Alligator mississippiensis: one gene and its partner. The protein of the gene in region 2 interacts with the protein of the main gene of each other region in a biochemical or structural test. Links are inferred from orthologs where the notes say so. Each region holds a gene or a part of one and is shown on either strand. Other genes may lie near its edges.

Region 1 (7,122 bases), on a different chromosome or scaffold from region 2:
GCGGGGCCAAGCCTCTGGCCTCCCCGAACACACGGCCGCAAGCCAGCATGACCCTTGCTGAGCCCGTAGCCGGTCCCCCAGCATCGGGCAGGCTGGGACCCCACCTTGGGGGCTCGGAGCAGCTTGCCATGCCAGGGACCCCCAGCGCCTCTCTTCAGCGACGGGCACGGGCCGTCGCCACCCCAATGGGTACCTGCTCCCCCCCAGAGCTGCATGCACTGCGCGGCGCTGCCTTGGGGGCGGCGGGGACAAGGGAAGCCTTGATGCAGGCCACAGAGCGCTCCTCACATAGCGCCTTTTGTCCTGGCCACAAGCGCCAGGCCCAGCCCTGCCCGCGAGATGGGAATAATTATGCCTCCATCTGAAGATTAAAAGCAGAGCTTGCATCTGTTTAACACTCCTTCTCCCCCCACTGACGTCAACGGGAACCGCCGGGCCCGTGTCACGTCCTGCGCATCGCGAGCTTCGGGCCCCGGGGGGGCTGCACGCTCCTGGGAGATGAAAGCCCCTCACACAGACGCTCCTCTGTTTTATCCTAAAGTCCGATTTTTAATACCAAGCTCCCCCCGCCCAGCAAACAATCCCGGGCATTGTTGAGCATTGAGAGACGCGGGAACCAGGGTACGGAGGGAGCCCGCGGCCTGGCAGATTTGCCAAAGCATTAGTACAGAGGCATCACCCTGGCCGTGGGCGGCTCCGGACCCCGAATGTCAGCCGATGCCACTGGGGCACGGGCAGGGCCGGGCCATGAAGACCGGGCTTTGTCACCAAGCGGCTCCAGCTCAGCCCCGGGCAGCGACAGCAGGTTCTCATTAGCTGCCTTCCACGCCCACTGGGATCCTGCCCGAAAACAGCCGCTGGCTCGCACGCAGCCAAGCCCACGTCCTCACCCCCCGATGTGCCCCCCACCCCTGGGCTGGGCTGATCTCCCCGGCCTGCACAGTACTTTGGGGGTGCTGGACACCTCCCCAAGCCGCACCGTCCTTGCCCGGGAGGCTGCCGCGTCCAGAACACGCCGTCCTGGAGGCCAGGGCCGCCGTCCGGAAGCAGCAGGACGTGACCCAGGCGGCAGCAGGGAGCTCTGTGCACCAAGGGATGGAGCCACGGCCAAGGGCCGAGCACGGCAGCCGCTCTCCCCTGCAGGGGGAAGGGAGCTCGGGTAAACAATCAGCTCCGGGCCAGAGTCCGGGCCCTTCCTGAGCCACAGGAGCCAGTAAGTGCGACGCCTGGTTCCCGCCCCGCCACCCGCTTGGGTCCTGGCAGAGCCGCACATGCGAGTGGCAGCCCAGGGACCTGCTAGGATGGGCATCTCCCTGTGCAATTCGACGCACGCTCTTGCGCAAACACGTGCCCCCAACATGGAGCCGTCAGGGTTCGCCAGCTCTGCGGAGGGAGGGCTGCAACGCATCGAAGTGCTGCCATCAGCAGAAGCGAGTTCCCCTGTGCGTGCTCAGAGCCCTAGGAGGAAGCCATGTCCCTCCGGCCCGATGCAAATCGCCCTGGCCCTGCATGGAAATCCAGGGTTTGCAAGTGAAATGTGCCCCAGATGTGCTGGGCGGTGCCCAGCATTTAGCTACCGCAGGCAGGGGTGCACGGCCCAACCGCTGGGCCGCAGGACAAGCCTCGGGAAAGGGGCTGCAGGGCAAAGCTGGCCTGGCCAGGGACTGTTGGTGCTGTAGCAGGGACCTGGGGCTCAGAGCTGCCTGCTGGGCACGCAGCCTCCCTGAATGCAGAACAGCGCCCCTGGGGTAGGCGGCAAATGCCTCATGCCCAGGGCAGATGCTGGAGGCACCAGGCTCTGGTGCCAGCCACCACCCTTGCACCCAGGGAGCCCAACCCCTGCCTGGGGGTGACCCGGCCACGTGCCCGGCTCAGGGGGACGATGCTGGAAGAGCCCCAGAGCCACCCCAGCGCCTGCACGGCGGACTTGCAGGACGTGACCTTGCAGCATATCAGCAGAGACCACGAGGCCCGGCCTCGAGATTCACTTCTGCTTTGCACGCTCCAGTGACCGCAGCTTCCCACTCTGCTGCTGAGCCGAGTCAGGTCCGCATGCGGGGGGAAGGGGAGGAAAGCTGCAGCGATGCCCCCAGAGCCCCCTGGAGCGGGGTTGACTTGCCAGCCCCGTGCAACAGGCGTGGCGCCCCCGCCCTGCGCACGGCCGCCACGAGACCGTGCACGAGCAAGCGCCGCGCTCGACGCCCACGTCACCCGCAGGCCTCTGAGCGCGGACCCCGCTCTGGGAGCCATCGTCGGGCCCGCGGCACAGGGAAGGTCCAGGGACTGGCACGTCGCCGTCCCCGACGTGACACCCACCACGCTGCTCCGCGTGGGGCAGGGGAAGGGCGCGCCCGAGACGGGCGGCATTGCCGCAGCAAGGCCACGGTCGCCACGCCGGGCCCGCGGCCAACGTCCCGTCGGGGTAACGAGCCGCCGCGGTCCCCCACGAGCAGCCGAGTCGCTGATCGCCAGCGGCTCGCGGTCGCTACCTCCACGCACCGTCCTCTGCGCCTGCCACGCCGGCCTATTATGGGATGGAGCCGGCAGGCAGGAAATGAGTCCCCGCCGCTCTCCGGAGCCGCTGGAGCGCAGCCGTCTGGCCGCCCGCCCGGTCCCTCCGTCCCACGAGGGGACGTGCGCGCACGAGGGCTTCCCCCGGTCCTCGCGGGGCCGGGCCCGGAGCCACCCCTGCTGCCGGCCCGCAGCCCCCCTCCCCGGGCTCCGGGTCCCGCGTGGGGCAGGTCGCGCGGGGCCCCAATGCGGGAGCCGGGCGGGGGGGGGGGGGTGCCCGGGGCCCCGATCCGGGAGCCGGGCACGGGGGCGCGGAGCGGGACCGGGGCCCCTACCTTGCGGGCGCGGGGCAGGGTGCCCCCGGAGGCGGCCAGAGCCCGGTACACGTCCGCCGCCTCCTCCGCCTCGTCCCGCGGGCGCGGCCGGGCGCGGGGCCGCCGCAGGGTCATGGCCGGGCCGGGGATGCGGGCGCGCCCGGCCGCACGCGGCTATATCGGCCCGGAGGGGGCGGGGCCTCGGGACACGCCCCCTGTCGGCCCCGGCCCCGCCCCCCCCGCGGGCCACGCTCCGGGCGCGGGGCCGCGCCCACGCGGGACGTCACCCAGCAGCGGGGCCCCGCCCCGCGCGGCTAAGCCCCGCCCCCTCCGGCCAGCCCCGCCCCCAAGTGCCCCCCCACGCGTTTGGGGGATTTTGGGGGCACCACGTGCTGTCCTCGCGTGCCCCCCCCAGCGTGTCAGAAACCACATGCTTGCTGCACACGTGCGAGGAGGAGCAGGGGTGTCCAGGGACGTGCAAGAATGTGTGGGGGGTGTTGGACGTGCAAGGAAGGACCTGCAAGGACATGCAGGCACATGCAAGGGCGTGCAAGGATGTGCAGGGACAGCCAGGGACATGCAGCGACGTGCAAGAGTGCGCAGGGATGCGATCCCAGGTCTTCCAGGCCCCCCAGGCACCCGGAAGGGGAAGCAGAAGATGGAAGTGTCAGGCCACGGCCCGTGGACATGGAGCCCGACCCCACAAGCCAGCGCCCGCCTGCCCTGCCTGCGGGGCCGCCCACACTGGCCCTGCCCAGGGCACAGAGCTGCAGGGTCTGGGCCCAGCGCCTGCCGCCTCCTCCCCAGCCCGGAGCCCCAAGGCCTTCGCACCTGGCCCAGGGCACGTGGCATGTCCACAACTGCCCCTGGTCCCCAGGAAGGTTGCTTGCCTGATCCATGCCCCGCCCGCAGCTCTGCCTCTTGGCCGGACCAATGGCCCTGCCTGCAGGCATCACAGACTGCGGCTCCTCTGTGCCTCAGTTTCCCCACTGGAGAAGGCCGGACCCAGTCTCTGGCCCAAAGCTGCGGTGGCACAAAGCCACGTGACTGTCCCGGGGGTGCAGAGGAGTCTGGCACCAGGAAAAAGCTCCCACCCTGCTGCCTATGACCTTGGGCTCGGAGAGCCCACACCGGCCTGGTTGCCTCAGGCTGGGCCGAGGGGACTCATCCCTGGGCCCGGGGCTCCCTCTGCCGCCAGCCTGCCCAACTGCAGGGCACAGCCACGTCAGGGAGGTGCAGAACAGGGCTGGCAGGGCTCGCCCGAAGCCACATCCCCTGCAAGGCTCTGGGCAGGGCCCCCACCCGACTCATCTCCCCTGCCCCAAAATGCTTCTGGGTGGGGGGCACGGCTGATTTGCACCTCCCCAAAGCCCCCCCACCGCCTGCCGCACTGTGGAGACGTGGATCCAATGCCAAGCAGATACAGGCCAGGAGCCAAACCCAGATGCCCCCCACTAGCCCCCAGGGCCGGGCCCAGCTGCGCTTGCCCGAGGGGGCCCAGCCCCCCAAAAGCATTCCCCCCTCTGCATGTGCCGGGGGCCAAGCAGCTGGTTCTCATTTTTAGCAAGGAATGAGCTGCCGCCCTGCGAGCTGCGGCACGGTCTCAGCACAACGAGCTCCAGTGCCGGAGCTCGGGGACAGCTGGCCGGCAGCTGAGCACGTTTCGCAACCGCCAAGGCCGCAGAAGCATCCTCCAGATGAGGATGCCAAGCTCCCTCCTGCGTTCTCGGAGTTTGCACCCCCGCCCCTCCCGGCACTGGCGGGAAGTGTCCGTCCCCCAGGCGCAGCCAAAACTGCAGCAATTAAAGCAAACCAGACCTCGCCCTGCCCTGACTGCAGGGGGAGACCAGCCGGGCTGGGGCCAGAGCAGAGCGGACCCAAAGCCGCACGTGGAAATGCAGCTGGGCCCTGCAGCAGGGAGGCACCAAGTGCCCACTGGGGCTACACAGCCAGCTGACACTCAGGGCCAACAGCACCTTTCAACACAGGAGCTTGCAGCACTTTTCAAAGAGGGTAATGTAAGGCTCATCCATGTGCCACCTCGTAGCGTGGCAAGGGGTTGACCCGATAGGGACGGACCAGCTCTATGTGCCAGTGTGGACATTCCCAAAAGACCCATTAGGCTAAAGGAGATCGTTCTGCTGCAACCACTCTGCGCGTAGTGTTAACCTTAGCGAGCGCAGAGCAGGCCTACAGCTAACGGACAGCTCCACATGGGTACGAGTCGGTGCCCTGCCACCGTATTCCTGCACAGACGGGGCCCTGGGGTGTCTCTGCTCCCCCAATGCACAACCAGTCCTCATGCCTGCTGTTACCTTGCAGCTGCACAGCTGCTCCCATTGCATCTCCCGAGGGGGCTGTAGCTAGCGACCAGAGGTCCTTGCTGGTGGGATTCATACCACATGCAGAAACTTGCGATAGGCTGACGAGCAGATTGAGAGCTGATCTTCCTGTTTGGAGATGAGTCCTGAACAGGATGCAACGCCCGCTCAGGGCGCAGCAGGGATCTCATTTTTGCAGATTTTTAAACCTCAAAAATAAGAGTTGAGGGGGCCAGACCATTTTAAAGATCATTTAAGGGTTTGGGCCAGAAATTGCAACCAAAACAGTGAGTCACAATTACAGGAGCACGAAGGAATTTGTGTGGCTGGGAGGACTAAGAGGCCAAGTCAGGACTCCTGGGTCCCACATCTGCTTTTCCATCCATGCTCTGTTCATTCAGGGCAGCAACCAGCTCTGTCCAGGCAGGGGCAGCAGAAGCCCTCCTCCAAGCTCACAGAGAAATGAAGACATCGGGACTGTGTGTGAAGGATTTGCAGGTTTTTGCTCCTGACGCACCTAAAAAGAGCAGAGTATTGCAGGGAGAGAAACAGCCCCCAAGAAGCTGAAGACACCAAAACTTCATCCTCCTGCTGCAGCTCAAGCATCCTCCGGCAAGCTTGTTCAAAGCCACAGCAAGTCAAAGCAGCACTCGTGGAGCGTGCAGGGCACGACCTCTTCTCCTACGTGCCGACAGGAACATGCCAGGTGGGATCGGGGATTCTGCCCAAGGTTTACTTAAGAGTCAGTTGTCAAAAGTTAGTTTGCAACAGTCCCGCTGGCGTTGCTCAGCCCTTGCACACCCCTGGGACAAGGCAGCCTTCAAGCTACTGGGTTTGGCTGTCACAGGGGTCAGGCTGTACCAGAGACCAGAGCTGCAACAGCCCTCACCCAGTCCCAGTTTGCCCCCAGGGACATAATTTAGCTAGATGCTACACCTCTGATGCCACGGCCCCCTGCACAAGTGCACACGCAAATGGGCCAGGTACTTCTCTTTAAATAGCAACACCATGCCCCTCTCGGGTTCTCCCCTTTCTGGCATGGCAGGGTAGTGAGCGGTGCTCACGACAGCAAAGCAATTGAAGCTTAAAAACCAGGGCAGGGAGGACAGCCCAGACGGCTTCCCCCAGACCCTGCTCCAAGCCAGGCACTAATTGTATTAGCCTGACCCAGAGCAGCTGAGTGCACCATGGTGCAAGGAGGATTTCCCCCTTGATCCGTTCACAGCGCGCTCCATTTCAGACAGTGTCAAGCAACACCAGCTCCTCTTCCAGCAAATATGTTTCCTACCCAAGTGCAGGGGGGCTGGACCCGACGATCTGTAATGTTGCTTCCAGCCCTTAACGACCATGAAATGATGAAATAGGATGCTACAGGGATGCTAGAGCTCAGGGGGGCAGGAAACATCCTCCTCCTAGGCTGGCTTTTCAGTAACATCCCATCCATCAGCCTCATCCCCACCAGCAGAAATCCTCTTAATGAGGCAGATGCTGTTAATGAGCAGCCTGGCTGGCCCTAGGGACCAGGCCCCAGCCCCAGCCCCCCTCCATGCAGAGCCAGTAAGGGAAGGCATCTCTTCACCAAGGGGAAGATGGCACTTGCACTGGGTCAGGCCAATGTTAGGTTCCCAGCAGTGCCAGGCACCCAGGGTACCAGTCCACACTCAGCTGGCCAAGGCTCTGCCCTACTCAGCCTCCCCTGGAACACAGCTTGCTCTTGCAGTGCGTTTCTACCATGGTACGGCTCAGTGGCAGTGCCAGGGGCCCCTGGCTATGTGGAGGCTGCAGCTGCCTTTAAAGTCAGCAGACCTGGATTCATGTTCTAAGTAGGAAGGTCATAGGTTCAATCCTTGCTGCTAACAACCCCCCTCCCCCAAGCACATCTAGTCTTCCCATGTGGAGCAAGAGGGCCAGACCCAGGTCTTGGTCAGAGGTAGGCCAAGCAAGGGTCATCCTTGTCCAGCTCCCCAAGGCCAGGG
Region 2 (7,432 bases):
TGACAAAACTTATTAGCAGGGGGAAGGGAGGGATATCTGAATAAAACTGCAGTAGAATACATTGGCTGCATGTTAAAAGATACACAGGGATGTCCATCCTCTGCTACGCTTAAATTGTACAACACAACACCGCTGTTAGTCTCTGCCATACCCTCTTGTATTGATCTTATTCACTCCCAAGGCAAGCAGGTCAGGCTGGGTCAAGTCTCAGGCAGAAAGCTACAAAGGCTTTATTTGGTCCTAGATAGTCAAGGACCCAATGAAAGAAGGTACAGTGGCTTTCTACACTGGCTATTTTTATACAGTCTTCCATTTCTGCAGCTTTGCCGGCAGGAGCTATAGCTCAAAGGGAACAGACAGTCACTAGCATCTTTTGTCTCGGTCTCCAGACCTTACCCTCTTCTAACCCTGGTCAGAGCATGGTTATAAATGCTAGTGACTGGCCCAGACCAGTGCTTTTACCATTATTAGCTGCAGGAGCTGGGGCAGATGGAGATAGGGGAAAAGATAAGCGAGTCTAGGGGATTTTGGCTAGACTGGGTGACCTATGTTTAAGTGCCTGCTCTGAATCATGAAGAGCAAGAGACCTGAATTGAGGTCTCTTGCCTCCCAGCTGCATGTCCTACACCTGTGCTCTTCTTGGTTAGTTTTGGACCAATATGTTTCTCTGAACCAGCTTCCTCCTCATCTCCCTACAACAGAATTTTTTTCAGTAATATTTTCATCCAGTTCTAGAGGTCAGCTGAGGCTTAGCAGGTCTGGGAGTGGTCAGTATGGGGATTCATAAAGTGCTTTGTGTTCCTCTCAAAGATGCTATTGCAAGTGTAAAGTGTCTGCTGGGTTTTTTATGTAGCACTTTTTTTAGCGCTCCTCCATTCCTCCTGGTATCCCCAACAGGGGTGAAGGTTAGTGTAGTAATAAATGGAAGGCAGAATTTCAGCATGGACAGTTGCTTAGAGGCATGACACATGGGGAAATGGAGAGAAGTGACTGGGTGCATGTTGTGTCTGGATACTGGTGGCACTTCTGACGAGGCTAACGATGGATTCGCCTCTGGAAGGAAAACAGGGCTAGGTTGCTCCCAAGTGGTGGCAGTATCTGAGCATGCTCAATCAATGGGATCCAAGTGGTGCAAGTCAGCTTTAGCGAATCAAAATACACCAACCAAACACTCCAAAATCCTCTGCTGGGCTGTGTACTTTGCTCTCGGCCATGCTATCCCTAAGCTTTCCTTCCCTGCCGGAGGGGACCCCCAGCTGCCAGGGCTACAGGGCCAGGGACCCAGGTCCCTGATGTGGGCAGGGTGCCCTGCTGCCCACCTTCAGGGCCTCTGCAGCCCAGTGGGTGCACCCCAGCACTGCAGGACAGAGTGGGGCCGCAGAGGGATCTCTGCTGCTGCGAGCTCCATGCTGCCCTGGCAACGAGTCCCCTGTATGCGTGGCAACAGTGAGGGGCTCCACCGCCTCCTGCTGCTACCACATGCACAGGGAGCATGCACCAGGGCAGCGCGGAGCTCACAGTGGTAAGCCGCTTTCCTGCATGGCCTCACTCTGCCCTGCAGTGCTGGGTCTCACCTGTTGGGCTGCAGAGGCCCCGGGGAGGGCAGCAGGGCAGGAGTCTGAGCCTGCAGTGGGCAGCCTGCTCCCACTCCTGCCCCATGAACAGGTCTGGGGATGCGGGTCCCTTTGGCCCTCTGGAGTGCACGCAATGGTGGGGAACCGTCCCCCTCTGCCTCCCATATGAGCTGCCCACAGTCCCATCCCACTCCCTGCCAGGGCCCTGCAGCTATGTATTGCATCCTCAGGCTCCAAGCCCCATGCACTGCCTAGCTGGGCTGCAGCCCTAGCCCTGCCCAACTCCCTTCCTCCCAATGGGGGCCTCAATCTCCCCCCTTCACACTTACCTGTGGGACCTGCTCTCCAGGCTGCCTGGGCCCATGTGCATATACATGCACAGGATGCCCTCTCCTAGCCCTTTACAAGCTATAACAATGCCAGCCTGCAGAGAGCTCTTTGCAAAACTGCAAAATCCATGGGTTCCTCTGGTGAAGAGGGAAATACGTGGTTTTCTCTGTTTTTGGGGGGGGGGGGGGTTGTTTTTTTGTTTTTCCCTTGGGGAAACAAAACTCAGATCCCTGGTCATGACATCCCTGCTCACTTAGTACAACATGGAGCTTGTGTGTGAACCCACTGAGATGGAACTTCTCTCCTTCCTAAAGAGAACTGGCAGTTCTGGGTACTAGGGAGGCCAGCTTGGTTCTCTCGGGGCATAGTTCCTCATGCATTGTAGTAACTGCGTTCTGTCGGAGGCAGAGAGACTTTCAGACATAAGCTTGATCAATAGCTCTGGGCTGCCACCAACCATCCTCCCCATCTTTTCCTTCTTGATTCAGTGAAGTGGAGCAGAGAATCATCCCGCTCCTCACACATGAGGGATCAGGAGGTGGATGTTAGCTAGCTGCCCTCTACTTCAAGGAGCTGCCAAGGTAACAAGCCTGCAGAAGGTGGGAGTGAAAAGAGGCTTGGGACTTTAGATTAAGGCAGTCTTTCCCTCAGGGTGGCTGAGGGCAAGACTAGGGGAACAAAGGCACCAGCCTGATCTCCATCTGGAGTGCAGGGAACTATGAGCTTGGCTGGGAGGGAGACCCAGTGGACCTGTCTGCAGCAAACAGAGAGCAGTGTGTTGAAGACCCTGCGCTAACCTTTCACCCCCTGTATCTTTCAGGATCCTGAGGACCTAAGCTGAATTCGCCTGCTGCTGCCCCACCCCTTGAAAAGCTGTAGCTGGACAGAGGTGGGTATGATGCTTCTACTTAGTTGGGCAGAGGTGAAGGGGGCATTAAACTTCAACCATTTAACATACAACCAGCTGTAACGAGGGCGAGGCTAACCCCTTCATTTAAAGGTGTTGAGATCCCAAGTCTCAGCCCAGCTACCAGGGAGTGTGTGGACCTGAAGCAATTGACGGAGCACCACACTTTGCTGTGGGTGGGAAGTCTCTTTTGTTGTCATCTTTGTCGGCATCTCCACAGCAGACACCACCAGCTGTGTTTAAACTGTTTGTGATTTCTTGTTCTATCTGGGGTGTAGGGGACAGAGTTGAGGCCTAACGGCTCAGTACACTCATAACCTCCAACCAGTCGCTTATGATTATTCCCTTCAGCTGAAACAGTAAGAGCTCCTGCAGGCCTGAACGTGCCTTGTGTACTAATCCAGCTGCAGAAAAGCCTGCCTTATTATGCCATGTCTAATCAGTCAGAAATGAGTGTTTTGGAATGCTGGCCACTTTCCATCGCACTGCACTTCACCTTGGGGGGGTGGAGGGAGCCCTATTGTGGTGAACATTCTTTGCAATCCTAATCTCTGATAAACCAGGTGTCAACAGGGATGACAGATCCCTCCCTCTCTCCCCATAATCAAATGCATCCTCTATTGCTGCATGCTTTAAACTTGCAGGGAGTAGGGGTGGTTTGATTATGAGAAAAAATGAGATTGGGGAGGGGATAGAAAATGTTATCATAAACTGTTTCTGGTCACTGTCCAGGGAAGTAATCCCACTCTTCTCTCTGCCCCATCTTGGTTCTCTTGCTCTGCTTGAAAAGTTTGCCATTCCTGGTGGGGGCAGGCTCAAGCGCATTGCACCATTCCAGGCACACTGCTTCTGGAAGTGGCATAGCTTCACTGCAATAGTGCTGCTGTGGAGCTAATAATTCTGCCTACATGCTAATTACCCTGCAGTGCATTTTCAGTGGAGATGTGCCCATGGGTGACCACTTTACAGTTTGCGTAAAGTTTGGAACTTGAGCTTAGCCTGTAAGCTCCTTGGGGCTGGAGCTGGTTGTTTGTGCCTCTGGGGCCCTGGTCCATGAGTGGAACTCAGCGTTACCAACACAAATGCACAGTAATGGCTGTAGGGCTGAGAAGGAGTCTGGTTTTGAAGCATCTATCTTTTGCACCCAGGATCTTGGTACACTTTCAGTTACCAGGCTGGGTTTTCCCTCCTTGTGTGTTGCGACCAGGGCCTGGAAAGCTGGGCCAGGAGCCCTGGCAGTGCTGGCTCCTTCCTGAAGTAGCAGCAGTACCTGCATCAAAGGGTTGTGCCTGGCACTGCTCTGGCTCTGCTGTGACTCGGGGGGGCGCCTAGCCACTCCCCAGGGAGGCTATATCCTGCTGGTGCTAGCATTGTCTGCTTTCATCTGGTAACTTCCCAGAAGCTTGTTTAACAGGGCTGAAAGAGATGGAGCTAGAGTGGGTAGGTAGGAGTTGGCCTGGCTGCTATCTAATGGGCACTGGATTTACCTGCTGTGTTTTCCCCTTCCTCTTTTCTTCTGTGGCTCATTCTTTCTCCCTCCTCCTGGTAGAGCCACTGATCTCTCTCTCTCTCTTTCAGAGACCTTCGCACACAGCACATTCCTGATATGTCCTCACTGCTTCTCTCAAAGCACATTCCTTCCTGGTACTACGGAATAGATGTTGACCCTTTCAGGCTTTTATCAGGAGCTCCTTCTAGGGCTGCTTTCACAATACTGCTTCAGTCTGTGCAGGTAGATTTTGGAATTAAGTTGTTTATCACATTTAACCTTTTCATCATCAGTGCAGCTGCCTAGCTGCTGTGACAACTGCCAAAAATGTGGCGATTTTCCTGGCCAGGATCAGCTCTCTTTGAACCACCTATAACCAGTCCCTTGTCCTTCTTAAAGATCTGCTGGAGCAGCGTTTCTCAGTCTGTGGATCATGATCCACAGTTCACAATAATATATGAAAGAGTCACAAACTTTAAAAAATGGATCTACACACTTTAAAAATGGATTCTCCTTTAAAGAAGAAAAAAGGGGGAATTTGTGGCTTTTCCCTTGCAGGCTGGTAGAGTTTCAACCTTCAAGGGGCTGTTTGGGGAGGCCCCCCCATACCTGACATGTTTGGGGGCTGGGGGTCAGGGGCAGCAGGTTGTTGAGCACGGGACACTGGATCTGGACTGGCCATTGATGTTTACAAATGGTTCCTGGTACAAAAAAGGTTAAGAGCTACTGTGCTAGAGAAAGCTGCCTGCTGGGTGACCTGAAGTGACTCATCCTTTGCATAAGGAGTGGGGTGGGGAGGGATAGAGTTACAAGCTGGCAGCATTGCTGAGAGGAGCACCTTGCTGGAGCACCAGCAGTCACTTTGCCCACAAAGGATAGAGCTACGCAGACAACAAAGGCAAGCTAGCATTGATCAGGCTCCTATGGGTAATGATGGCAGTGAAGAGGGGGCAACACAGGCCTGATGGGGCCATTGAGCACATACTTGATCTGCCAGCTCACGCTGATGTTGCTATATCTTCACTGCTACTTGAACTAGCAATATAAAGGTGTTGTGGGCTGGCATAGCTGTACTGCAGTTGTACCTTCATCTGCTATATAGACAACAGAAGCCCGAGGGAGCTCAGTGGGGCTTCTGCTGGTATTGCTTGGACCTGAGCCATTCACTTGTGTGGGGAAGGGAGTCTCTTTTATCCAGAGGCCTTTTCCCTCTCTCCCCAAATTTCTGTGACCCTGACAAAGGGGATTTTAGACTTAACGATGTGTGAACCTGTTGTTCAGCCCTACTTCTAGTTTAGGCTCCCTATGGTAGGTCATGGGTTTGTATTAGCAGGGGTGGGTTGTGTTGAGGCAGCGCAGAAAGGTGCTGACTTGTAACCAGAGACAGCACAGAGCTTGGAAAGTGTCAAGTCTATGTTGAGCAAAGGAAGGGTGACTACCTTGGAGGACTGAGGTACATGTCTGTTCCCTCCACCAGCCCCATACCTTCTGAGACTTCCCTCACTCTTATCCTCCATCCTGGCTTTTTATTTTTGCCTCTGTACATTGTGCTCAATAGCCCTGTATTCCTTTCTGCCTCTGCACTGCTCTCTCTTGTCCCAGCAGAACAGTACAGTGCAAGCCAGTACCCTGCAGCACTTCCAAGGTTTTTGTATTCTGTTTTTGCAGCCAAAGCCCTAGATGTCTGCGTAAGGGAGATGCCAAATTGGGCCTTGTCAGAGCAGTGTACTTCCTGTGATTCAGCACAAAGCTAATGGATCCTTCTTAAAGTGGTAAACCCAGGGAAGGACAGGGGTTGCCACGGGTCACTACAGCATAAACGGGGATCTTCCCCTATGCCAAGTATGGAGCCCTCCCTCTAGTGACTACTTGTGCCATATAGGCTCTTGGCCTGTACTGACCCTGGCTTGGAGCTCGTGTACCTCCATGATGCATATTGTGCTGTGACCTTCTTCATGCTACCTTAAGGAACTTCATGGTGCACTGCGTGGTAGAGCCAGACCTGAATATTGGCTTTTGCCCAGCTGAGGCCTGCAACCTGGACTGATGCCATGGAACAGTGGCTTGCAGCGGATGGGGGAGGAGAAAGTCAAGGACTTCTGTCTCCCAGTTAGGGCCTTTGCTGGACAGAGTCTTCTGTGAGAGACCCTGCCGGGACTGATGGGACCAAAAGGCCTTGAGTGACATAAATGACCATCAAGATTGCCATGGCAACCACAGTCCCTTCTCCCTTGCTTCGACCTGCCAATGAAAGGCTGGGACTTGTCTTGTGACCTGCAGCATCTTCAGCTGCATGGAGTTCCTCACATTTTATAGGACTGGTCCTTGTGGGTGCCGAGTATAGCCGGAATGGGGCTGTGATGGAGTGGAATTAGGCACAAACGCGTACTGGTTGAATTGAAAAGAACTTTACTTACAAACTGACGTACAGGGACTTGCGACGATGCACACAGTGTAGGCACTAGCAAAATCACCGATGTTTTCTGAGCATGCAGGGTATGGGGTACGTCGGGACGGTCGTCGAAGGGGAGTGGTTGGTGGTTGATCAGGCCCCAATTTTGCTCCAAGGTACACGAGGAACTAGTTCCCAACGTACACGCGGAGTTCTCCGACTTGGGCGGAAACTACCCAAGCTTTTATACGGCTAGTGAGCCAATTGCTAGCCGCCGGTATGAATAATTTACAATGAGCCAATCGGTAGCCTGCATCCAAATGGTGCAACTGCTAGTTTTGGCGGGAGCTGATCACTGCACCAAGGCTTTTCCCGCCGTAGCGAGGCATCCCTTGCACTGAGTACTCGCATCATGCTAAGAATTCTGCTGTGTCGAGGCACTTTTAATTACTAAGTACAGACAGTCCTATTGTGTGAAGAGCATCTTTCAGTGGTGGTGAAAATAAGCTGGACTAGTTAGCGTCATTCTGGATGGCAAGGAGCACCTCATCTCCAGGTACCTATGGAGAGACAATTAACTGGGCTATGGCCCTCATCACTGCATGCAGGCTCCCCCAGGAGACTGAGCCAAAGGCATCAGAACTAACTGTGCCTTCTGGGACCTGGGATTAGAATGTATATTTTGAGCTGGGTAAGGTTTTTTGTTGTGTTTTTTTTTTTGGGGGGGGTGGAACTGTGTA

The links. The genes of interacting proteins can lie anywhere in the genome.
Region 1: of the proteins of SRC (region 2) and TAMALIN, one has a biochemical effect on the other in vitro, tested with the Homo sapiens proteins (2 studies listed by BioGRID and IntAct, with this or other methods). The link is inferred for Alligator mississippiensis from reciprocal best matches to the Homo sapiens genes SRC and TAMALIN.

What each region holds. Positions count from the first base shown.
Region 1 is NC_081838.1:6,439,330-6,446,451, reverse strand, and holds the start of TAMALIN (protein TAMALIN), read right to left. Parts: upstream 3,004-7,122; 5' UTR 2,961-3,003; coding exon 2,847-2,960; intron 1-2,846. UniProt on the Homo sapiens protein: Plays a role in intracellular trafficking and contributes to the macromolecular organization of group 1 metabotropic glutamate receptors (mGluRs) at synapses.
Region 2 is NC_081832.1:17,296,007-17,303,438, reverse strand, and holds the start of SRC (proto-oncogene tyrosine-protein kinase Src), read left to right. Parts: upstream 1-4,423; 5' UTR 4,424-4,469; coding exon 4,470-4,543; intron 4,544-7,432. UniProt on the Homo sapiens protein: Non-receptor protein tyrosine kinase which is activated following engagement of many different classes of cellular receptors including immune response receptors, integrins and other adhesion receptors, receptor protein tyrosine kinases, G protein-coupled receptors as well as cytokine receptors.